Kluyveromyces lactis: one gene and its partners. The protein of the gene in region 3 interacts with the protein of the main gene of each other region in a pairwise test. Links are inferred from orthologs where the notes say so. Each region holds a gene or a part of one and is shown on either strand. Other genes may lie near its edges. The genes, in order: RUD3, KLLA0_D12584g, RVS161, AIM3, LAS17 and RVS167.

The links.
Region 1: the proteins of RVS161 (region 3) and RUD3 interact in a two-hybrid assay, tested with the Saccharomyces cerevisiae proteins (2 studies listed by BioGRID). The link is inferred for Kluyveromyces lactis from reciprocal best matches to the Saccharomyces cerevisiae genes RVS161 and RUD3.
Region 2: the proteins of RVS161 (region 3) and KLLA0_D12584g interact in a two-hybrid assay, tested with the Saccharomyces cerevisiae proteins (4 studies listed by BioGRID). The link is inferred for Kluyveromyces lactis from reciprocal best matches to the Saccharomyces cerevisiae genes RVS161 and GYP5.
Region 4: the proteins of RVS161 (region 3) and AIM3 interact in a two-hybrid assay, tested with the Saccharomyces cerevisiae proteins (3 studies listed by BioGRID). The link is inferred for Kluyveromyces lactis from reciprocal best matches to the Saccharomyces cerevisiae genes RVS161 and AIM3.
Region 5: the proteins of RVS161 (region 3) and LAS17 interact in a two-hybrid assay, tested with the Saccharomyces cerevisiae proteins (2 studies listed by BioGRID). The link is inferred for Kluyveromyces lactis from reciprocal best matches to the Saccharomyces cerevisiae genes RVS161 and LAS17.
Region 6: the proteins of RVS161 (region 3) and RVS167 interact in binary tests that used the Saccharomyces cerevisiae proteins (3 or more experiments, as listed by UniProt). The link is inferred for Kluyveromyces lactis from reciprocal best matches to the Saccharomyces cerevisiae genes RVS161 and RVS167.

The regions. Positions count from the first base shown.
Region 1 is NC_006040.1:590,474-594,013, forward strand, and holds RUD3 (Rud3p), read right to left. Parts: upstream 2,057-3,540; coding exon 668-2,056; downstream 1-667. Other genes in the region: AIM41 (Aim41p), read right to left, coding at 1-305; RFC1 (replication factor C subunit 1), read left to right, coding at 2,440-3,540. UniProt on the Saccharomyces cerevisiae protein: Involved in the structural organization of the cis-Golgi and in vesicle targeting/fusion stages of ER to Golgi transport.
Region 2 is NC_006040.1:1,065,473-1,069,707, reverse strand, and holds KLLA0_D12584g (uncharacterized protein), read left to right. Parts: upstream 1-1,552; coding exon 1,553-3,676; downstream 3,677-4,235. Other genes in the region: KLLA0_D12606g (uncharacterized protein), read left to right, coding at 1-1,192; MRPL24 (mitochondrial 54S ribosomal protein bL28m), read left to right, coding at 3,980-4,235. UniProt on the Saccharomyces cerevisiae protein: GTPase-activating protein which accelerates the GTP hydrolysis rate of YPT1 and SEC4. Involved in ER to Golgi trafficking and polarized exocytosis.
Region 3 is NC_006041.1:1,052,868-1,055,861, reverse strand, and holds RVS161 (amphiphysin-like protein RVS161), read right to left. Parts: upstream 1,433-2,994; coding exon 632-1,432; downstream 1-631. Other genes in the region: KLLA0_E11925g (uncharacterized protein), read right to left, coding at 1-24; KLLA0_E11881g (acetate uptake transporter family protein), read right to left, coding at 2,118-2,951. UniProt on the Saccharomyces cerevisiae protein: Component of a cytoskeletal structure that is required for the formation of endocytic vesicles at the plasma membrane level.
Region 4 is NC_006038.1:826,447-830,746, forward strand, and holds AIM3 (Aim3p), read right to left. Parts: upstream 3,001-4,300; coding exon 421-3,000; downstream 1-420. Other genes in the region: KLLA0_B09482g (uncharacterized protein), read left to right, coding at 3,396-3,980; ISA2 (Isa2p), read right to left, coding at 4,102-4,300.
Region 5 is NC_006039.1:433,110-437,205, forward strand, and holds LAS17 (actin-binding protein LAS17), read left to right. Parts: upstream 1-1,610; coding exon 1,611-3,572; downstream 3,573-4,096. Other genes in the region: CTS1 (chitinase), read right to left, coding at 1-197; KLLA0_C04752g (uncharacterized protein), read left to right, coding at 419-823; KLLA0_C04796g (uncharacterized protein), read right to left, coding at 3,698-4,096.
Region 6 is NC_006041.1:280,063-283,527, forward strand, and holds RVS167 (amphiphysin), read left to right. Parts: upstream 1-1,480; coding exon 1,481-2,767; downstream 2,768-3,465. Other genes in the region: CIN10 (Cin10p), read right to left, coding at 1-525. UniProt on the Saccharomyces cerevisiae protein: Component of a cytoskeletal structure that is required for the formation of endocytic vesicles at the plasma membrane level.

The DNA of each region.
Region 1 (3,540 bases), on a different chromosome or scaffold from region 3:
TCTTCTCTCTTATTTTTAACAAATTCAGCGATGGAGTCCTTCCTTTGCGAGATTAACTTGGCGTACACATCATACAATACAAATTCATCTAGATCCTTATCCTTACTGTCAATTTCCTTGTTCTTAATTGTAGATAGTACACCTCTAATGGTTGTCTTTCTTAGGTTGTCTTTTGCAAGCATTGCCTTCTTCAAGTCTTGTTTTAATGCAGCGATCCCATCAATGTAGCCTTGAGAACTGGCAAATCTAACAAAGGTTCTGGTCGTTGCAGTAGCGCGAACGCTTGGGATAACACATCTTAACATCTTTGTATTCGCTAATGATTTGGATGCTTGTCTTGAAGATTGAACCAAACGATCAAGATTATAGAAGGTCTATTAAATGTAACGTTTCTTTGTATTTGTTCATAGGTGCCGGTGTCTTTTGGGTTACTTGAATTTTCATAGAAATTATCATCAAGATGCAATTTTATTACCGTTGATCGGTTAAGTAAAAAAAAATATTCAGTGCAAGTCGCGCTTTTCTTTAAGTTTGTTCCAGACGGCTTATGATATTTGACTGGATTAGTGAATAATTGAACTAACTTAGTCTATATATTTATGTGTTAGAACGTTTATAGTACAAATCACTTTTAGAAAGTTTCTGCAGGATGACAGCCAAAGCGCAATCACTTCTCGCTTTCCTTTTCTAGGAATTCAGTCCAGAGAGAAACGAAATTCTGGGTTCGCGATTCGGAGTTTGTATTGCTCATATTCTGAATGAGACCAGCTTGAGTCTTTTTATCGGTGTCCCAGTTAAGGAAACTTGAAATTAATTCCAAGACTTCAAATTTCTTTGGATCACCTCTTGGGATAGTAACAAATGAGATGAAAAGGTTAGATATCAACTCTTTGTCGACACTTTCAGAATCATTGTTTTGCTTTAGCATCGCTAATGCTTTTGTTAGATGTTCATTTAATATGATAGCCTCGTGGCGTAGTTTTCCTATCTGTAGAACTCTTTCTTTCACCTCTCGTTCAAATTTCTCCTTTAATGCTACATCTTCACTCATGGACGCTACTTTTGCCCTCAAACTATTGATTTCGGTAGCTTTTTCTTCATTATTTTTCGTTAATTGTGCTATTTCCTCGGTGAATTGGTTGACTTCTGTTGTCCGTTGTTTGGTTAGAGTCTCAATAGTAGTGTTGTTATCATTTATTTGCTTTTCTAAATTTGACATTATATTATCAAGCTGTTTCTTAGTTTCATCACTTTGTTCTAATTGCTGTTTGTAGTCAGCTATCTGCTCTTCTAAATCTCTTTTATCTTGTGCCTCATTGTTGATGATAATTTCTAAATTATCGATCTGAGATTTTAAGCTTTTGACTTCAGATTTAAGACAAGAAGTAATGTTAGACTCCTCGTTAGATGCCTCGTTCAACTTAGATTCCAATTCTTTGATTTTGGACTTGAATTCTGAACATTCATTACTCAAATTTTCACATTCTTTATTGAGATTGACGATTTCATCATTCAAAATAGAAATGGTTTGCTTGTCCTCTTGGATTTCTGAATCAGCAGATTTTAGCTTCTGTTTTAAATTTATATTCTGATTCTCATACTCATTCAACTGCTCACGAGTGTTTTCCAGTTCCTGTTGAGCTTGCTTCATTTGACTGAACACGGTCTTCATAGATGAGATTTTACTCAAAAGAGTGTTATACTTCAATTCGTACTGATCTCTTTCCTCTTTAACACGCTGTAGATCGTTCTCCTCAGAATCACTGTGCGGTTCTGCCTCTGCATTAGAGTTTGTTGTGGCTTCGTGTGATTGCTGTTCCTCTGGTTCAGGTTTCGATGGCTTGTCATCTGTTTTCACAGTAACAACCGCTTCCACAGTTGACTGGTCAGCACCATCAGAGTTTTCTAGAGAATCATCCGGTACCGCGACAGCTTTAGCGCCATCATTTTCAGGAACCACTTCTTGGACTGGCTCTGTAGCCTTGACATCTTTTGCTGAACCAGCAGACTTTGATTTATTGTTACTGTTGTTGCCCTTCTTCTTGTTCTTGGCCATTTTTTTTCTTAATGCGGTCAGATGCCAATTGCTGTTTGGGAGCCCCTAATTTTGACAGGAACAACTATCCTTGATCTATGGGTTATATGCCAAGGTCACTTCGGTACTCTAGATTTATACGTTGTGCAGATGAACAAGTTGTAGAAAGCCAATTCATTTCTTTCGATAGTCTATATACGTCAACATCGTTCGTTTTTCTTCAATCTTTAAACCAACAATTTAAATGTTAAAATCATAGAAAACCAGGAAAAATACCAGTAATAACGAGAACATCGCTGATAAAACAGAAACTGACAAAGCGTGAGTGTCGGATATAGATGTGTTAGAGGGTTTTCAGTGTTATCTGATTCTAGTGTAATAGTACAATTGAAGTGGTGTCCGAGATGGGAGACATAACGGATAAATTGAGAGCTGCAAAAAATAAGAGGGCAGGGCACGGAACAAATCATGCTTCACCCAAGAAGCCCAAGAAGGTCAAGAGCCAGGCTGCTGAAACGATTGACTTGGATTTGGATGACGACGAACTAGAATTGCTGGCGTCACAACCGAGAAGAAGCCGGAGCAATACTACCGCAGCCGATGAGAAAGAGCAGTCACCTGCAAAGAAACCAAGGATAAGTGAACCTTCATCGAACGGATTGACTAAACCAGACGTTAGTAGGGTTAAAAAAAGCGATTCTCCGCAAACTGTAAAAGAGCTTTTAGACTCTATACCTTCTGTTGATCTTGATAATGTTACGACGAAAGAAGCCACGCAGTTTTCATGGAAAGGTGCAGGAGGTGATGGTTCTGGTGCATCCAGTGAATTGGAGATCCCAGAGGGTCAAGCAAACTGTTTGCTCGGGCTAACCATTGTATTCACAGGTACTTTGCCTAATCTTGACAGATCTACCTCAGAAAATCTAGCAAAGAGATATGGTGCTCGTGTCACCAAATCTATTTCCAAGAACACATCCGTTGTTGTGTTAGGGGAAGAAGCAGGACCTAAAAAGCTCGAGAACATCAAGAAGTTGGGTATAAAGGCCATTGATGAAGAAGGGTTCAAGAGACTAATTGCAGGTATGCCTGCAGGTGGTGGTGATAACCAACAAGCAGACAAAGCTAGAAGGAAGTTACAAGAACAACAAGAACAAGCGATGAAAGAAGCTGAACAAATGGCGAAGGAACAAGAGGAACGTGAAAAGAAGGATAAACTATCGGTGGGAAAAGATGTCAATCTTTCAAGTAAAAGTACTGTTACTGAAGACAGTAAGTTATGGACCACGAAATATGCGCCTACTGATTTAAGACAACTTTGTGGTAATAAAGGAGCCATCCAAAAATTGAAAACTTGGTTAGAGAGCTGGAGTTCTGGGAAAAAGCCTAGTATGAGAGCAGTGATGTTATCAGGTCCACCAGGTATTGGCAAGACGACAGCCGCTCATTTAGTGGCGAAATCTTTGGGATATGATGTTTTAGAGAAAAATGCATCTGACGTTCGTTCC
Region 2 (4,235 bases), on a different chromosome or scaffold from region 3:
TTATATCGCACCATGTATCGCTGGTTTCATTTCTGATGGACAATCGTGGGAATGGGTCATGTGGTGGTGTGCCATTTTTGCTGCTGTTTGTACCGTGTTTCTATTCTTCTTCATGGAAGAGACTAATTACGATCGTAAACTAAAGATCGATTCCAGAACTGGCCAACCGATCACAATGGACCGCCACGATGGCACTGTCGTTTCAAATGTATTTTCAGCTACAGCCAACATCGACACTTTGTTGAATAAAGAAAATAATCATATCAACGTGGATGAAACCAGCTCAGATAGCGTCGGTGGTGTCACTGGTGATGTACCCGACGTTTTGCACTCAGTGTTAAGTGCTGAAAACTCAAATATCATGAACCAATTGAGCCGAGTTGAAGTTGTGGACGGAGCGACCGTGCAACAGAGAAAATCGACTAAAACGTTCTGGAGTAAACTCTCCATGACAAGTGGTGCAAAGGAAAAATTCCTACTACATCATTACTTCATGGCACCATTTTATTTATTCGGTTTACCTGGTATCTTATGGGCAGGTTTCTTCTACGGTCAATCCCTAATTTGGTTCAATGTTTTAAACGCAACTGAGGTCCTTATCTTAGCTGCTCCTCCATACAACTTTTCCAGTACGGCTTGTGGTCTTGCTTACTTCTCTCCATTGATCTTCTCTTTCATTGTCTTTTTCCTAGTCGGTACTTTCTCCGATTGGTTGAAGGTCCGTATTGCCAGATATCGTGGTGGTCTCAGTTTGCCAGAAGACAGATTGTACACCGTTATAATCTACTGTTTCATTGGTGTCGCTGCGTGTATTCTATGGGGCGTCGGTGCTTACTATGAAATCCACTGGTTTGGTTTGGTGTTTGGTCTTGGAATGTTAGGTGGTTGTTCAATGTTTGGTATCACCATTTCCACGACATATGCTATTGACTGTTACAAGGAATTGGATACTGAAGCGATGGTCGTGGTTATCATCATCAGAAATGTCATGTCCTTTGCTGTTTCCTTTGGTATCACCAAATGGATTGAAAACCTTGGTTTGAAAAACGCATTTATCAGTGCCGCTTTCATTCTCTTAGCATGTAACTTGACATTTGTTGGAATGGTAATTTGGGGTCCGGGCCTCAGAAACAGAACTAAACATTACTACTGGTCTTTAGTTAAGAAGTATAGAGACTTGGGTATGCACTAATATATCACTAATCTTGGTCTTTTCTTTAAGCACTATTTAACCCTCTAAATATTTAGACATATATCCACCAATGCTATATTTTGTTTCTCTGAGTATACTAACGCCAACACGTTGTATATTAGGTGAATCATCCATTCCTATTATAAGCAATACGGCTTCGCTTTAACTGACACTCGAACATTCCAGTCGCGCGTCTGTTTATAAAATTACCCGGCCAGCCGTTTCAGGCTATTCTCTCGAACAAGATTGAAATATTGACCATTGTATAATTGTTTAAAGCCCATCAACCCTATGTTACCTTGAAGGAAAGTAGCACGAAACCTCTTGAAACACTATAAGCGGGCTGAATACTGTTCAGATATGACAGATCAGGTAGAAACTAAAGATGATGTTAAATCTACGGCATCAAATGATGCGGAATTGCCATTAGATGAGTCCGAGAATGTTGAGCCATCAGGGGACAAAATAGAAATAGAAACAGAACAGCCGGATGTAGCAGACGCACCTGCTAATGACGGTGCTCCCAGTGCTAATGAAATAAAGGAGACTGATGTCAGTTTTGCTGCTACGGAAAAGAAGAATAATGAAGATTCTCCTCCTATCACTGGTGCTATTGAGGTGAAGGAAGAAGTTGCAGATGAACCAGTGGATAGTTCAACGGTAGAAAGTGAAGCACCAGATACAGTGGAGGTTGTTAATAATGAAACCGAACCAATTGATACTGATAAGGATAGTTTATCTAATGAGAGTGTGATAAAATCCAAGCAAGAGATTTTAGAACAGAAGATTGAGTCATTCAATAACGAAACTAAGCCACCACATTTACCTCCAAGGGACCACATTGCGGGAGAGAAACCACCACTTCCTTCAAGATCTCATGTGGCAACGTCTTTATCTGGACCTGTACATTTCGTACCTCCACCATTGTCCGAGGAAATGAAGTCTCCCAAGTTTCGTGCTCATTTTAATCAGCATAAACGTTCCGACAGCAGTGATTTCGATTTGATATTGAACAGATTCATTCAAAACGAAACCGAATTGGAACTAAGAGATGACAAAGAGCGTGAGCATGCAAAAGAAGGTACCAAGACACTAAGAGAAGAATATGATAGCTTACTAGATCATGCGGACAAAGAATTGGTACAATACGATTGGCCATTCTGGAGTAAGCTGGTTCATAATTTTAGCGATATAGTCAAGGATGACTCAAAGAAATTAGAAACTGAAGTAGGGAAAGGTATCCCAACTCAAGTCCGTGGTATTATATGGCAGCTACTAACCAGTTCAAATTACAAGGAGATGGAGGAGTTATACTGTTCCTTACTTCTATTGGAGTCACCGCATGAAAAGGCAATCAAAAGAGATTTATCTAGAACGAAGTTCATCCCAGAAGGTAAGACAGATTCTTTATTCAGCGTGCTCAAGGCTTACTCTCTTTATGACCCACCAGTTGGTTACACACAGGGCATGGGTTTTATTGCTACTACTTTAATATTGAACTGTGAAGAAGAATGGCAAGCGTTTTCTCTATTAACGAAACTCATGAAAGTATACGGATTAAGGGATTTATTCTTGCCGGGAATGCCTGGCCTGATGTTGAAATTGTACCAATTTGATACACTTTTGGAGGAAAATGATCCTCAATTGTATAACCATTTGATCAGGCAGGGAATAAGATCTACAATGTTTGCAACTCAATGGTTCCTGACGATGTTCGCATACAAATTTCCCCTTGAATTCGTTCTCAGAATCATGGATATTGTCATACTTGAAGGTATCGAATCGATGCTAAAATTCAGTTTAACGTTGATGTTAAAGAACAGTCGTAATTTGATCATTCTCAGTTTCGATTCTCTCTTAGACTTCTTGAAGGAGGACCTTTTCCAACACTATGCTTCTAAGGAGAACCCAGAAGAGTACGATATTGATAGATTCATCTCTGATTCGTTGGAAATCAAATTAACTCCATTGCAATTGGAGCGTTACGTGAAAGAGTACGATGAGATTCACAAGTTGGAAACGGAAAAGGAACAACAATATGAGGAACAAAGAATTAAAAACAGACAGCTTCAAAAAGAGTTGAAGAAATTAGAAAATGACTATTCGCTATTAAACAGAGAGCATATCACTATTGCCAATGAACTAATTGAAAACAGACTTCGGATGGAAACTCTTCAGGACGAAAATAAGGATTTATTACTAGAGATAGAAGATTTGAAGAAACAACTGGAACGTGAACTTTATAAACAAACGTTACCTAATCCAGATGCTGAAATTCCCACAGATTTGAAAGCAGATTTGAATAGAACAATGGAAAGAAATCTGGAAGTTATGGACGAAAATCAAGAGCTCAGAACACGCCTTGACGAATTAGAAAAAGAGAACTATGAATTACGCACAGGTAAGACTTGGACCAAAGATGCCACCAATCCAAAGGGAAATCGTCTCGGGAATTGGGCTTTCAAATCACCATGGAAGAAATGAGAAAAATTGCAACAGGGACCTCATTCACAATATCCATCCAGCCGTACATATATACATACCCTTCATACATACATGATACCGCCAACCATTACGCAGAGGTGTATTCTAATCATAAATTTCCTTATGCTTTACCATTCTCGCTGTATACGGTTTTGATCTTTCCAAAGCTTATTCAAAATTTTAGAAAATAACGACTTGATACATGCACTAAGGTGAAGAGAAGGAGCTTGAACCTAGTATGAAGCTAGTTGGTCTAAGAGTCTCTGTACGTTCACCAATAAGCACGGAGATCGTTCATCTGGAATGAAGTTTTTTCCAAGTTCCCAAAGAGGGTTTTCCACTCTTAGCCACCTCCTCAGAGAATGGAGATTAGTTGAAAGCAGACAGATCCCAACTCCAAAGACGTATCAAGTCGGCGACAGCAAGCCATTATATATCCCAAAGGAGAAGAAGGAATTCCCTGATTATCCATACGGAGAATCTCCAATTTACAAACAGAGTAACAAAGGTTTATACGGTGCGTCTTTCATCCAATTCGGTAATAACATCGCTGAATCGA
Region 3 (2,994 bases):
TGGAAACCGGACTTTAATGAACATGTCTGTAACTTAAAGAAACGAGGAAACCAATGGAAATGTGCTAAGACAAAAATATTGAAACGAAGAGCAGCAGAGAAATAGAGAGACAGAAATGATATGGTGAAAAAAAGCGCAGACCTAAAGGGATAAGAGAACCATAGGCCTTGTTCCAATCGACTTAGTCCCAAATGTCGATGATCTTCACGAGAAAAAATATTTCGGAGAAGGAGCGATAAGGTAGTTTGTTTCTTTCTTTTTCCTTCTTCAATATTATCGAAGGATCAATTAGGTAGGGGGTCAATATATCAAAGTTTTGTATGCCTCTTCAGACAAACCCAACCTCCCTTGCTATTCTACAGTTTAATAGAGCTGTAACTATTTTCGTTCGAACTTTCTCTTTCGATGATAGTCAGGTCAAAGATCATTTAGTAGCGTTTGATATTTCTTGAATTTTGAAATATCTGGTTTTTGTTCCGAAAACTTCGAAAAATTCATGTTGAATATGAAGTTACCCGGGAGAACACAAGGGATAGTGCGAGAGGGCAGACGACTCAGCCAGCAGTAGGATTAAAACGTGAATGTGAGATGAAGACATACATATACATATATACTGTGTTGTTGCTGCTTATTATTTGTTGAAACCTAGAGCGCAAATGTTTAGATTTGACATTTGTTGCAATAAATCGTCGATTCTTTGATCGAGAAGACCGTTTGCGTAATCATCACGTGACTGCTGGTCCAAATACTGTTGAATTTGCGCTAGTCTAGTGTACCCCTCAGTACAGAATCTCAACTGAATCTTCACTAATGCTTCGAAACTTGGATCGTAATAGGGCACTCTGAGGGAGACTAGTTGTGGAAGTTCTAATTTCAATTGGTCATTCAAATTATCGTAAATATCCTTAGCGAAGGCCAACTCTTTTTCGGCACGAGGTAACTTGGTAGCGTCTTTAGCCGGCTTATCGATAAGTCTACGCACCTTAGCCTTTGCTGCATCGTAATCCTGTTTTTTATGTTCTCTTTTCTTGATAGCTGTTTCAATTTCATCGAAATAAGTGGCGAATTTCGTGATTGGTTCAAGCACAGTTTCTCTAAAGGGCCCATCCAACTGTTTCACCGTTTCCGTATCAAAATCTCTAACACATTGTAGATAGTAGTTCCCTATATTGTGTGCTGACGCGCTGGTTGCCTTGGAATCATCGTACAAATCCGAGATAACTTCTGCAATAGTGACCTGAGACGCGGTAACTGCTCTTAGAGAATCAAGATATCCCTTTGCCTCCTTCTGTAATTCCTTACCTGCTTTCTCAAGGACCCTGTACCTACGCTCTTCCATTCCATAATCTTTATCATGAGTCTTGTCAACATTTTTGATGAGCACGCTGTTACCAGCACGGTTGATAGCTTTTTTAAACCCTTCCCAGGACATTAAACACAAACTTTTTTTTTTTTAGTTCACTTGGTGGGAACCTTTATTGAACTTATTCAACTAGTTTCTGCGATAACGCTAAATGATATAAGTTCTCCTATCGATGATGCACCGATATATATATGTTATATTTGTATGTAATATATATTATCTGTTTCAAGATTGTGTGATTAGTGGCTTTTTAGTGTTTCAGAGAAAAAAGACCCAAGGAAAAGGGGACACATCGTAAATAACGATACAGAATATCAATGCCGAGAAAAAAATTAAGGTAATGCAGAGAACTTCAGCGGCTTTTCCCCAAAATATCAGAAGGGGCGTGTAAAACCAGAATAAAATAGGAAAAAACAATGGTGTATTTATATAATCATCAAAATCATCATAATATTATAATTAAATAAGGAATATAAAAGCTGGAGCCAGTTTGGGAGGGCACGGACAAGGGAGAATTTCTAACAAGGTGAATGTAGAGAAATAAAGAAAGAAAGAAAGGAAGAAAAAAAAAATCATAAACACTGGAATCATACGTGTCAGAAATTTATTGTTGAATATTATTATTATTACCATCATTAATAGTAAATTGTATTGTTATTGAGGGAGAAAGAAGAAACCCTTGTCACATCCCTTTTACCGTAGTGAATAAACGTGTGGAAATAATCGCATAACAAAAAAGTCTTGATATTCCTCCTTAGAAAAACTTGGCCTTTGGCAATGGCAAAGGTCTGACAGTAATGTACGAGTTTTCGCGCGTAGCCACACCTGCAAATGCATTGTACCAAGCCATAAAGGCAACGATAACACCAAGCACACCTGCAGCACGTGTGACACCAGTTCTTCCGGTGAATTCACCAATGGTCAACAACAAGAAAGTAATGGACAATAGGAAGAAGAGACTGAAGAAGGCCAGAGTAGATTTCATTGTGCATACGGTAAGTCCCACTGTGAAGATGGTCCAGCCTAACAAGTAGAATCCGATGGCGTTTGCCAATTGGTCCGGAGCCTCCTCATAGGCGGCTCCGATTCCAAACCAAGGAATATGAATTGCAGCAAAGGACATCCAGAAACCACCGTACGAAGTCAAAGCAGTACCACCAAATGTGTTTTCCAAAGCGATTTCCCAGACACCGGCTACCATTTGGACAAACCCACCGTAGAAAACGGCCAATGACACAACCACGTTTGGAACTGTGACACCCATGGCCCGGGCATTGTACATAGATAACACAAAAGTAGTCAATGCGAAAGCGGATAAACCCAATGGTGCAGGATTAGCAAACTTGTGGGTTGCTGGAGGAGCAAGACCCGGGTTCAAAGTACCACCGAAAGCACCGTACAATTCATCCTTTAAGAACTTTTGACGTCCAATGAAAATGAACTCGTGATTTTCACCACCGGTCTGGACCTTTTGAAGTTCCAAATCGTCATGGTACACGTTAGGGTCTTGGGAATTGTATGCCGCGGTAGGGTGACCAGCGGTTTCTTGGTGTTGATGGTTGTGTTTCTCCGAGCTTTGACTGGACATTATTGGTTATGGTTATTAGTTTAAATTTTAATTTAGCCTTTTT
Region 4 (4,300 bases), on a different chromosome or scaffold from region 3:
TCGTTCCTCATTACTTTTTACTTTTCATCTTTCCATCGCTCAAATTACGCACAAGCACAACGTTTCAAGTAAATAGTTGCTGCTACAACGCTCTTACTGCAAATAGCTTTACAAATGCTGTGTAAATCCATTAATATAAAACGATGATCATTCGTACATGTGTATACAGTAGTGGATGTTGAATGCCATCCTGTGAAATAATAGCTTAAATGATAATAAGATGAAATGTAAAACACTAAAAAGAATAATGATAATGCGTGTTCTTTAGTCCCTATCTATAAATAATTATATAATTTGCAGCCGCGTTTTTGAGCCCTTAACGGGACTTCAGTGGTAAGTATGCTGTCTCGGTGTATGACTGTTTATAAAACTCTTTATTTTTTTTTGCGATGCGAGTAAATGCCACTAATGTGTTTAAAGTTATTTGGACTTATGAATATGATCCCTTTCTGCAGGAACTACATGCCTCAAATACTTCCTGAAAGAATTACCTTCTCCAGAATCGTCATCATCGTCATCATCAATACTGTTATTAGTTTCTTGCGTTAACGATGTGCGGGCTGACTCGTTATGTTCATGAGTGGCTGTACCGGACAAACTAGCCTTTTTCTTGGGGACAGGTGGTTTATTTCCTGCCCTTAATGATACCTTCTTTTTTGGCACTTTTGGAGGCGGTTTCTTATGTGCCGTTTGAATGTCTTCATCAATATTATAAGTTGGAGGAATAGTTTCATTAGTGGAATATCTTGGAGGTGGATCAAAAGTTCTACTTGGAACTGCCGGTTGCTCGGATGTGGTGGTATGAGAATCAGTCCTCTGTGGAGGAGGAGGTAAATCTGCTAGGGGTAACATTCTCATGGCAGGTGGTGCACTTTCTGAACTATTGGAGGCTGGTTCTTCCTCTGTATGCTGGGGCAACGAGCCATTTTGTTGTCCCGGCGGCGGCGGCAACGTTCTTGATGAAGCTTTAGCAACTCCACCATACTCTTGGGAAGGTCTGCGCGACGAAAGTGAAGTTTGAGGATCGTTAGCTGGCGAAGTTACCATTGATCTCGGTGGTTTGGGGGGAGGAGCGAAACCAACGTCAACATTATAGTTATAAGCACCTAACACCGCAGCTTGATGTACTTCCTCTTTGGGTCTACCTATGGGAGCACGTTCTGTGGAGGTAATGCGCTGGTGAGTTTGAATCGGAGGTAATGTCGGTTTCGAAGACACAGGAGGACGTGGAGGATTTGGTGGCTTATGTGATACTGTAGGACGAGCATGCGATACAGGTGGTGACATTGGCAATCCGTTATGCGTTGGCTTTGGCGGAGGTGGGAAAGATACAGTAGATTCATGATAAACTCCCGTGATACTTTCATTGGGTCTAACTTGGTCATCACCAACTTCAGCTGATGTTCCAGTTGCTGCAGCTGGGGTCACAGTGTTTGGTTTGGTATGATCAACAGATGTAGGTGGTCTGACATTCCTTGAAGGCAAAGGTGCAGGACCTGGTGAAAGTGATTTCCCCTTCTCCAATACGGATGCGTCCCTTGATGAACTCTTCAAACTTGAAGAAGATGACCTATCCTTGTGGAGAGGAGGTGTCACTTGATGAATATCAATTGCACTCACAGGTTGCAGCTCAATTTTCTTCTTCTCCTTCCGTTCATCAGAATCCATCCAAACGTATGGTTTAACGGTAATTGAAGCTGTTGATGAAACTGTAGATTCTTGAGATGCACCATGGCCAGTAGATGTTTGGATATTGGAGAGACTTGGTCTTTGCGCAAGTGCAGGAGCTGGAGATACAATGGGGTTTTGTTGCCCTGGCTGTTGTTGATACATTTGAGGTTGAGATGCAGGTTGGTAAGGAGTTTGCTGCTGTTGCTGATAATAATCCTGTTGAGGAATGGGAGGCTGTACAATAGGAGCCTGAACTGGTTGTTGATATTGTGGCTGCAAAGATTGGGTTTGTTGTTGGTACTGTGGCGGATATGACTGTTGATACTGCGGTTGTGCTTGCGGAGGTTGTTGGATGGGTTGCTGTTGAACCTGAGGTTGCATTTGCTGTATCTGCGGTTGAACTTGCTGCTGCCCTTGTTGCTGGTACTGAGCATAGGAATCGATATACTGCTGTGGCTGAGTCTGCTGCAGTTGAGGTTGAAAGTAGTTTTGTTGCTGTTGCATTAGTTGCCCTTGATTTTGAATCTGAGGCGAGGGTACCTGCTGAGACTGATATTGTGAGGTCTGCGGCTGAACCTGCGGCTGAACCTGCTGTTGCGACGCCAAGGGAGAGCCTTGGACTAATGCCTGGCCTTGATCAGGGGTACCCATTGATGGTTGGAACTGTTGCTGTAACTGCTGTTGTAGTTGTTCTTGTACGTGTTGTGCATTAAGCGATGGAATAGGGGTATATTGTGGGGGCGTTTCTACGGCAGTCTGATAATTTCTTGGAGGAATTGGTTCAGGATGAAGCTGCTGCATTGGCTGCTGCGATAACTGCTGCCCTGGCTGTGGGATTTGCTGTACTTGTGGTGGTACTTGCTGTTGCATTGGCGGTTGTGGTGGCGGTTGTTGTTGATACATATTCTGCGGAGGATACGTTTGTTGCTGAGTAAGCATAGGAATACTGTTCGCTGTCGGTGTTCTTGGAGGCAACCCTGGGTGTGAAGCAGCATTGGCCATCGGCACAGCAGCAGTATGCACCAGAGGAGCGTTACCAGCATCAATGACAGTCCCATCACTGGATATCTGTTTCTGTCCCGGTTTTAAAGGAGGCGGTGGAAACATCTTAGGATCTTGTAAATGAGACAAATCTGAAGCCGATTCGCTCATATAGCCTTCATCGGAACTCTCCTCAACATTCTTCTTGCCTTGGGAATTGTTATAATGCGTCTTACTGGCCTTATACCCTGCCTTTGCTACATATTTCGTGCCCTGATAACCATATTTTCCGGCGCTTGCCAGACCAGACATAATACTGCCCTTGTTATTATCCCAAAAATTACTCATGAATAAGGCGCTTCAAAGACTTGAGAAAACTGCCACCGCTGACGAAAGAGTGTTCCGTATTATAATGATGTTCTGCAATCGCGCTATACAATGTATAACTAACGAACTACTGATTTATACCGGTCCAAACTCTTGCTTCTCCTTTATTTCCCTTTCGGTTTAGGAGTCAAATTCTGTTCAGTTTGAATCTTTTTCTCAAAACCTTTGATTTTCACTATTTAAGCTGTTAAAGGCATAGAGCCGATCTACATGAAGGTTTAAAGGTTACTACTACCCTAAGATGAAAAGAATGCAGGGGTAAGTTGTCGTTTCCCAGGACCGAGAAGCGTGTATCTAAGCAGAGGTCAATCTCTTGTAATATTGCTGGTCATTGATATAATTTCCTTTCTCGAAAGATGAATGGCTTGGAGCGATGGTATTTTTATCATTCACCAGATGATATTCGGATCGATGTGCTCATTGAAGATCTGCGTGAGTTCTGCAATGTTGATGTGGCTGATATAGATGGTGAAGAAGGAATTTGGCTTATAGATAATTCTGAGGACGAATTACGTGTATTTTTGAGTGATACAGTATGTTGTACTAATAGTCAACAGGATAATCGGATTACAAAGACATTAAGCAAACACCAGGTGTACCTGGTGCCCTTACAGCTTGACAATGAGACTGTATACCAGTTTTTAACAGAAATTACATCCAATATGGACGTTGTGAAAATCGATTATATGACTAGGGACACCAAGTTATTGAATCAATTTCAAATCCAAGTGAACGTCAGCGATTTCCCCGCTGGTTTGCATCTTTTACCTAAATTATTAAGCGATAGGTTAGGGATCTCGAAAGAGTTCCCAATAAAAACAGTACATATTGTCCAGCAGAGAGTGACACTGCGATCGACATATATCGAGCAACCAGACTCATCAAATGCCAATGGTGTTCTATTAGAATATTTGTTAGGATGTAAGAACCTCATAGTTTAACTATACACATTACCATATATGTAAAATGTCATTTGAATATAAGTCATTAGCCCATCAATATGGGGGGAGTGGGGTCATGCACTGCATTATAATAAATAGGATGTTGAAAAAAGCAAGAACATCATGTTTCCTGGTCTAAACCGAAACTGCTACCGCATCCACAACTACTGGTCATACTTCCTCCAGTAATCTTGAAAGTGGAACCGATTAATTCGGTACTATATGTGAGAGTGGTATCGTTCAAAATCTTTAGGGACTGCTCATCAATAACAACTTCGCCGATGGAATCAGGTAATACATAAACGATATCCTTAACAGTC
Region 5 (4,096 bases), on a different chromosome or scaffold from region 3:
TTGTCAGGGAACTGGTATAGGAAGGATAAGACGACAACATCAACATTGTCCGAAGCACAATAAGTACCTAACGATTCTTGAGTGCCTGCAGAGGCTTGGCCCCAATACACAGCGACGTTATCTTTAGCGTTTATGTCAAATGCCGAGGTGAGCAAAAGTTGAACCAAAGACAACAGAAGTAAACGAGGGTGAAACATTGTAGATTCTGTTAATACTTTTAAAGGAATGAATGGAGGGTGTTCTCTAATTTCAATACTAGTATCCTGCGAATGTCAGAATATGTAATCCTTTAATAAAGAGTGACAGATTAAAATTTAAAGGCTTGTATAGAGAGATAGCACACGCACACAGGTAAGTACTGTTATGGTAGTATTAGTAATTTTTGATATCTTGTATTTCTGGTGACCAGTTTAACACAATGATTGATAGTTGCATTACTGGTACCTCATCCTGCCATTGTTGTGCCCTTTATATACCAGAAATCACAAAATATGACATCGAGCTGGACCCCAGCACTTGTTTCAAACATTCCAAAGCATGTAAACAAACACACCACAGAAAGCATTCTCAAACACTTGCTCCTGCTCACTGTTTATGTTTACTCTGTTTCGTTTCGTTTTGTTTCGCAACATCCAAAAGCTGTTCCTGTAATATGCTAAAACATAATTTCGTGTCAAAAAAGTGCCTAGGAAAAAGAATTCTTTTTGGAAGAGTTTTACGCTGGACTAAAGAGAAGAAAGCATTTACGTTTAACGTAACTGTAAACAAGACACAAAATGTAAACCCAATCACGCCGCCTGTTGTAAACTATTTCACATCATAAGCACGCAATCCAAACACCGTCCACCTGCAAAAAAAAACCATCTTTCGATGTTTCTCCCTCTGATCTCTTCGAGCATGTAGCTGTTGTTTACCTTTTGAATACCGCATGCTGGTTGCCAAAAAAACCCAGCATAAAGCGATCAACACGTACAAAGTGATTCTGACTTTTGTCAGATGCTGCAGTGCCAGACGGTTCCTGGGTCAGGACAGAAATTCTTCTGCCATTGTGCCGCTGTAACCACGTCCACATGCGTCGGCCAGATGTATCAGTAAACAGAACTCTTAATTTTTCTCCGTATTATGTTCGAATGCGTGTTCGTACTGAAATGCTTCTTGTCTTTCCTGTACCTTGCAGTGACCTAAATGGGCACACTGTATTCCCATTTACAAATGGTCTGTTAGTACTTTTGAATTCAATATGGCAACTTGAACAAACCCCATTGTGTAAAGGTCCTTTTTTTTTTATCTCTCTCGCAGTTCTGTTGGTCCCTTCTTCTTTCACTGAATCACTCTGTGAATTATAGGGGAATAATGCCGTATTAAGAATCGCTTCAACTTTCAATATTGAAAAATTGAAAAGTTGCGAAATGTTAAACAGACCGAAAACTTAAGAACCGTAAATTATAGTCAGCCAAACCCCCCCACTCCCTAAAGTGCATCGCGCGTTTGTGTTATTTTCATTAGAACCCATCGGTAGCTGCCTCCGTCAAGAATTGATTTCAAGTTGAACGAGTTTACACTTCTTTTGAGAAATTAATAATCATAAAGCAGTTGTTTCCGAGTATACTATGGGAGGCTTGAATTCTGCTGAGAAAGAAAAGGTTAAACATGCTTTGCCCAAGGCTTCTAACAAGATTATAGATGTTACTATCGCTAGGTTATACATTGCATACCCTAATCCAGAGAAATGGGTTTATACTGGCTTATCTGGTGCCATTGCATTGGTGGACGATATCGTTGGTAATACTTTCTTTTTGAAGTTGATCGACGTGCATGGGCATCGAGGTGTTCTCTGGGATCAAGAATTGTACGTGAACTTTCAATATAACCAGGATCGTACTTTCTTTCATACCTTTGAATTAGAACAATGTAACGCCGGGTTGTTATTCACCGATATTGGCGATGCTTCACATTTTTTGAAACGAGTACAGAAACGGGAGAAATACGCGTCCAAGAAGACCTTGGCCAACAAGAATGCAATTGCATTAGAGGACCAAATTAAGAAAGAGGAAGAGAGTAAAGTGATCCATGGTCCAAGAGGCGAATCCTTGATCAGTGACCAAAGGGTCAGATATAGATATGAACCGGAAAAGCACGAGCACCGCCAGGAACACCATTACGAGCAGCCCAGCCAGAATTATGCTTCAACTGAAAACTCAGCTTCAGATGCAAGTGCCGCTCCTCCTTCTTTTGCCTCGAAACCACCGCCACCGCCTGTCGAGAAACAACCTCCTCCTCCTGTGAGCATCCCATCTTATAAGTACGACTCTATTCCATCATTCCCAAGCTCTCCTGCACCTCCATCGGTTTCCTCTACTCATTCTCCTACCCCGGATTCATCCTATGCATCAACACCAGCACCAAGTAATCCTCCTCCACCAATAAACCACCCGGTACATGCAGTTCCTCCTCCTTTACCAGCAGAACAATATCGTCCACTGGCTCAGTCACCTCATCCGCAATTCCAGCAGCAGCATAATTCTCCTTCACCTGCAGCACCTCCTTCGATTCCGCCTATGCAGCAAAGCGTTGCAATCCCTCCTCCACCTTCCCATCCAGCTCAACAACAAAACGTCACTAATAACAACACTCCTCAGTTTGGACAATATTCTGTTGCTGGTCTGCAACCACCTCCGAGACCAACTTCAACGAGACCTGGTATTGCTCCTCCAGTTTCGAGGCGTGGTCCGGTACCACCTCCCCCTCCAAGACGCTCAGCTGCTCCGCCGTCCATTCCTTCAAGAGGTCCTCTACCTAATGCTCCAACTGGCGGTCAGCATAGTCGTACTGGAAGAGGGCCTCCACCACCACCACCACCTAGACGTGGTGGCCAGGCTCCTTCTCCACCTGCAAGCAGAGGTACAACTCATAACTCAGCCATCGGCCCTCCCCAGCCCCAGCTTCCACCACAAATGCAATCTCCTCCTCTTCAACAGCATAATACCTACAATGCAGCGCCTCCTGTTCAGCAATATCAACCACCACAGCAAACCGCATACATTCCGCCTCCCCCTGTCTTACCACCCCACTCAGGTGTAAGCACTCAGTATCACCCATCGACCGAGCCTATGTTAGCCCAACCCCAGCATCATATAGCGGTACCTAATGGCACTGCACCTCCCCCAGCACCTCCTGCCCCTCCGGCACCTTTTGCTCCACAGATAACGAACTCAGCGCCCGCACCACCACCACCTCCTCCTCCTCCTCCAGCCCCTGCATTTAATCAACCTGAAGCAGGATCTGGTTTTGTTGAAAATACTGGTGATGCTGGAAGGGATGCCTTATTAGCATCGATTCGTGGAGCTGGTCTGAATTCCCTCCGTAAGGTGGATAAATCTCAACTTGAAAAGCCAAGTCCTTTGTTACAAGAAGTTCGTAGTGATGCGCCGGTATCTCAACCCACAGGCGGGTCAACTGGCGGACCTGTTGGTGCTCCTGCGTCCTTGGCTGATGCCCTAGCTGCGGCTTTAAACCAAAGAAAGAATAAAGTTGCTCGTGACGATGATATAGACAACGGTGATGATTGGTGAAAGTAATTCACCCTACTTGAACTGCATCTGACTAGACTGTGGAATTATGATTTGGTATTTGTATGTACGGTGTACCTATATATTACTTTCAGATGCCTTTAAAACAGAAGACAGATAAAACTAAACTAATTATTCAAAGAACTCCACTTATTTGACCATACCTGTATCCATTTCAACTTGGACTCATCTGAACCGTTTAGCTGTGTAATAATTTTTATAACTTTCTTAACATCATTATTGATAGCAAGTACTGATGTTTCCACTTCTGGATCTACTTCATATTCAGCGTTCACTAAGGTGGATGAAATTAAAGTATCAGAGTTAGAAACTATTGAATTGTGGAGTTGATTTAGCTCAGATAGATATGCTGCTGTAGTTACAGTATCCTTTTTTATGGTTATCGATTTGGATAATGAACTCAACAAGAGCTTAAGGAGACGAGATTTTTGCGATAGTGATTTGACAAATTCAATCATGGATTCTGAAGCTTCCTCTTCCTCTTCTTCATCTAAATCCGTACCTTC
Region 6 (3,465 bases), about 770 kb from region 3:
TGCCGGTGAAATTTCCGTTAAATATATTGGAATGCATTGAGCTGCGATGCCAACGGCTATACCAACGACCAGCCTACCGGTGACTAACATCTCGAAAGTGTAAGAAACTGCCATTAGCATCGATGAGGCAGCAAAAATGATGCAACAAACCGTTAACGTGTGTTTCCTACCGCATCTGTCAGCCAAGGGGAATGCTATTATCGATCCTATGAATGAACCAGCACATGTTATAGAAGTGATTATTTCCTTTTGCCAAATTTCCAAACTATGAAAGTTTAAATCCTTTGGATTCATTGCTATTAAAACCCCAGAAATTACACCAGTATCGTAACCGAAAAGCATCCCACCAATTGTCGAACTAACAAACATAATACCCGTCCTCCATGTGAATGGGTATGGTCGTTGTTCAATATCATTTGCAGTGGTGGTGGTCATCTGAGAGAAAGTGGAGTACAAATCCGAATACACATCTTCGACACTGCTATCTCGCTGCGGTGAGGAAGATCGTACAATATCGTCCACCATAATACGGTACCAGGTTAAGAGAATATATGCTGGATTTTGCTGTCCAACGGATTGTAAGAACGCCGCTCTATGAACAGATCGGTGGGATATTACAGCAAGTGTTTAAAGTTTGTAAATCTTTGTTCGAGCCTTGGAGTCAGAAAATGGTTTAAATCCCATTCGGTAATTTAAAGTGTCATTTACTATATTAAGACATTAAAATGAAAAGAGGACAAACAACATCTCCAATGACAGTAACTTCTCGAAACTACTTGTAATATCCATAACGAAACAACCGTTATGTAAAAATATACCTAACTTATATCCTACCAAGAATCTTGCTGCACTTTATGTACCTTGCTCCACAACTATTCTCAACCGAAGGGTACATTGACTATTAGCCTAGAGTCAGCAGGCCTAAAAAAAAACAAGGTCAAGCTTGCAGCATATTTGAGTGATACGCACTCAAATTACAACCAATAGGAGAACCAATGGGCGTTAATAACAGTATAGACCATCCCCTTAACTTTTCACAAGCCTACTGCTCAAATGCATTGGGCCAATTTCCGATGAACTAAGCCAAGCCTTTTTCCTTTCTGTACGCTTTTGCCGATGCACAATACAATTTCAAAAAAATTCAAACTTTGGACAATTTCAATTTCATCACTTTGGAAGGGCATGTAAAAGGGGCAAACTTGAAAGGCAACTGAAGCGGTATATATATCTAATCAGCGTGTCAACGAGTTGTCTGTTAGAGCAAATCTGAACTTAAATTAATCTTTCGAAGGACAAACAAGCGTCTTTGTCGAGGGAAAGAAAGTTAATTTATTATAAGGGCAAAGAGAGAGAGCACTCAAATAAAAAACACGAAGAACGTGAATTTAAACAGATAAAAAGCGTTAAGTTTTGAAGTTTAGAGCGTATACAGCGAATAAGAAAGCAAATAACAATCAATATATTTTCCCCCTAGAGAGTCATGTCGTTCAAAGGTTTTACAAAAGCTGTCGCCAGAGCACCCCAGTCTTTTAGGCAAAAACTGAACATGGGTCAGCAGACTGTTGATCCTGTTTATGAGGATGCTGATCGTCGTTTCAAGGAATTGGAATCGGAAACGAAGAAGTTGAGCGATGAGTCAAAGAGATATTTCAATGCCGTGAACGGTATGCTAGAGCATCAAATTGGATTTTCTAAGGCAATGTCGGAAATTTTCAAGCCAATTAGTGGTAAGATGTCCGATCCCAATGCCGCTGTGCCAGAAGACAATCCAGAAGGTATTGAAGCGAGTGAGCAGTACAGTGCAATTGTTTCTGAGTTGCAAGCTACTTTAAAGCCTGATCTAACTCTGATTGACGAGAAAATTGTTAAACCAGCACAAGAGCTTTTGAACATTATTAATTACATTAGAAAGATGTCCACCAAGAGAAACCATAAAAAGCTAGATTTGGATAGGAGCTTGAACACGTACAACAAATATGAACAAAAACAGAATCCAACGCCAAAGGATGAGGAGAAAAAATATAAAGCCGAGGCTCAAGTCGCCGTAATGCAACAAGAATACGACTACTACAACGATATGTTGAAAACTGAATTACCTATACTTTTCCAATTGGAATCAGAGTTCGTGAAACCATTATTTGTTTCATTCTACTACATGCAATTGAATATCTTCTACACCTTATACAACAGGTTCCAAGACATGAAGATCCCATACTTTGACCTGGATACTGACATCTTGGAGGCATTCCAAGCTAAAAGAGGCAACATTGAAGAGCAAACAGATGCACTAACCATTACTCATTTCAAGCTGGGATACTCGAAGGCCAAACTAGATTTAACCAGAAGAAGATATGGTGCTACTGACGACTCAAGTCCTGGAAGTCCAATGAGCCCACCCGCATACGGCCAAACATACGGTCAGCCTGAACAGCCACAACAGATGGGCTATGACTCAAAACTACAACAGCCGCAACAGCAACAACAGTATCCAATCGGAGGTGTTGCAGGTGCCGCTGGTATCGCAGGATACAATTCGGTGCCCACCACTGCGACCCAGGCATCATACACTCCTCCCACTAGTGCAGGAGTGGAGACATGTACCGCTTTATACGATTACACGGCCCAAGCCGAAGGTGATTTGACGTTCCCTGCTGGTGCCATAATCCAAGTCGTGGATCGTTCCGATGCAGCAGGATGGTGGGTCGGTGTCTACAATGGCGTCCAAGGTGTATTCCCTGGGAACTACGTCGAACTATCGAAACAATAATGAAAACAAAAGAAAACTAATCTCTTGGTCACTTTCCATTCCCTTTCTGCTGTGTATAGACTGAACTTGAAAAAAATAATAAAGCAAAAGAAAAGCTCTCCTAGCCTGTAGTTACTATATACTCTAACCTTGTTTAATTCAAGAATGCCCCATAGCTTTTAAAGGATACAGAATGCACATCACTATCGACGGAATTGACGATATTTGGTCACCTGGCAATAGTCAGACATTGCTTCATGGAGACGAAAGGGGTTCGTCAGAACCCCTGTCTACATGCCCCTATATTTCTACACATCACCAGTAGCAGAGCCAGCCACTAAAATCACACTGGTTTCCAAGCACACAGCAGGTAAGATGGAAAAGAATTCCATGAGAAAGTACACTAAGCCTTACTGCAGGAACAGAAAGAGATACGTCTCTATATATACTTAAAACCAGCTATGTATTTCAATGCAACAATTAGCTCCCACCATCACAACTGCTCCCACTGCAGTGCACACAACCAGAGCCTGAAAGCCCCCTCCCTTCAAAATACTTTGGATATCACTATCCCACTTCCTCCTTGCACGTCTCTTTCTAGAAGCCCTCTCGATCCTTTTTCAGTTTTTGGCTCATTTTTCATTGATGAACTTTATTTAGTTTCAAACATAATAAAGATAGCCAATCTTAGGAAACGCGAGAATGAAACGGAAAGTTTT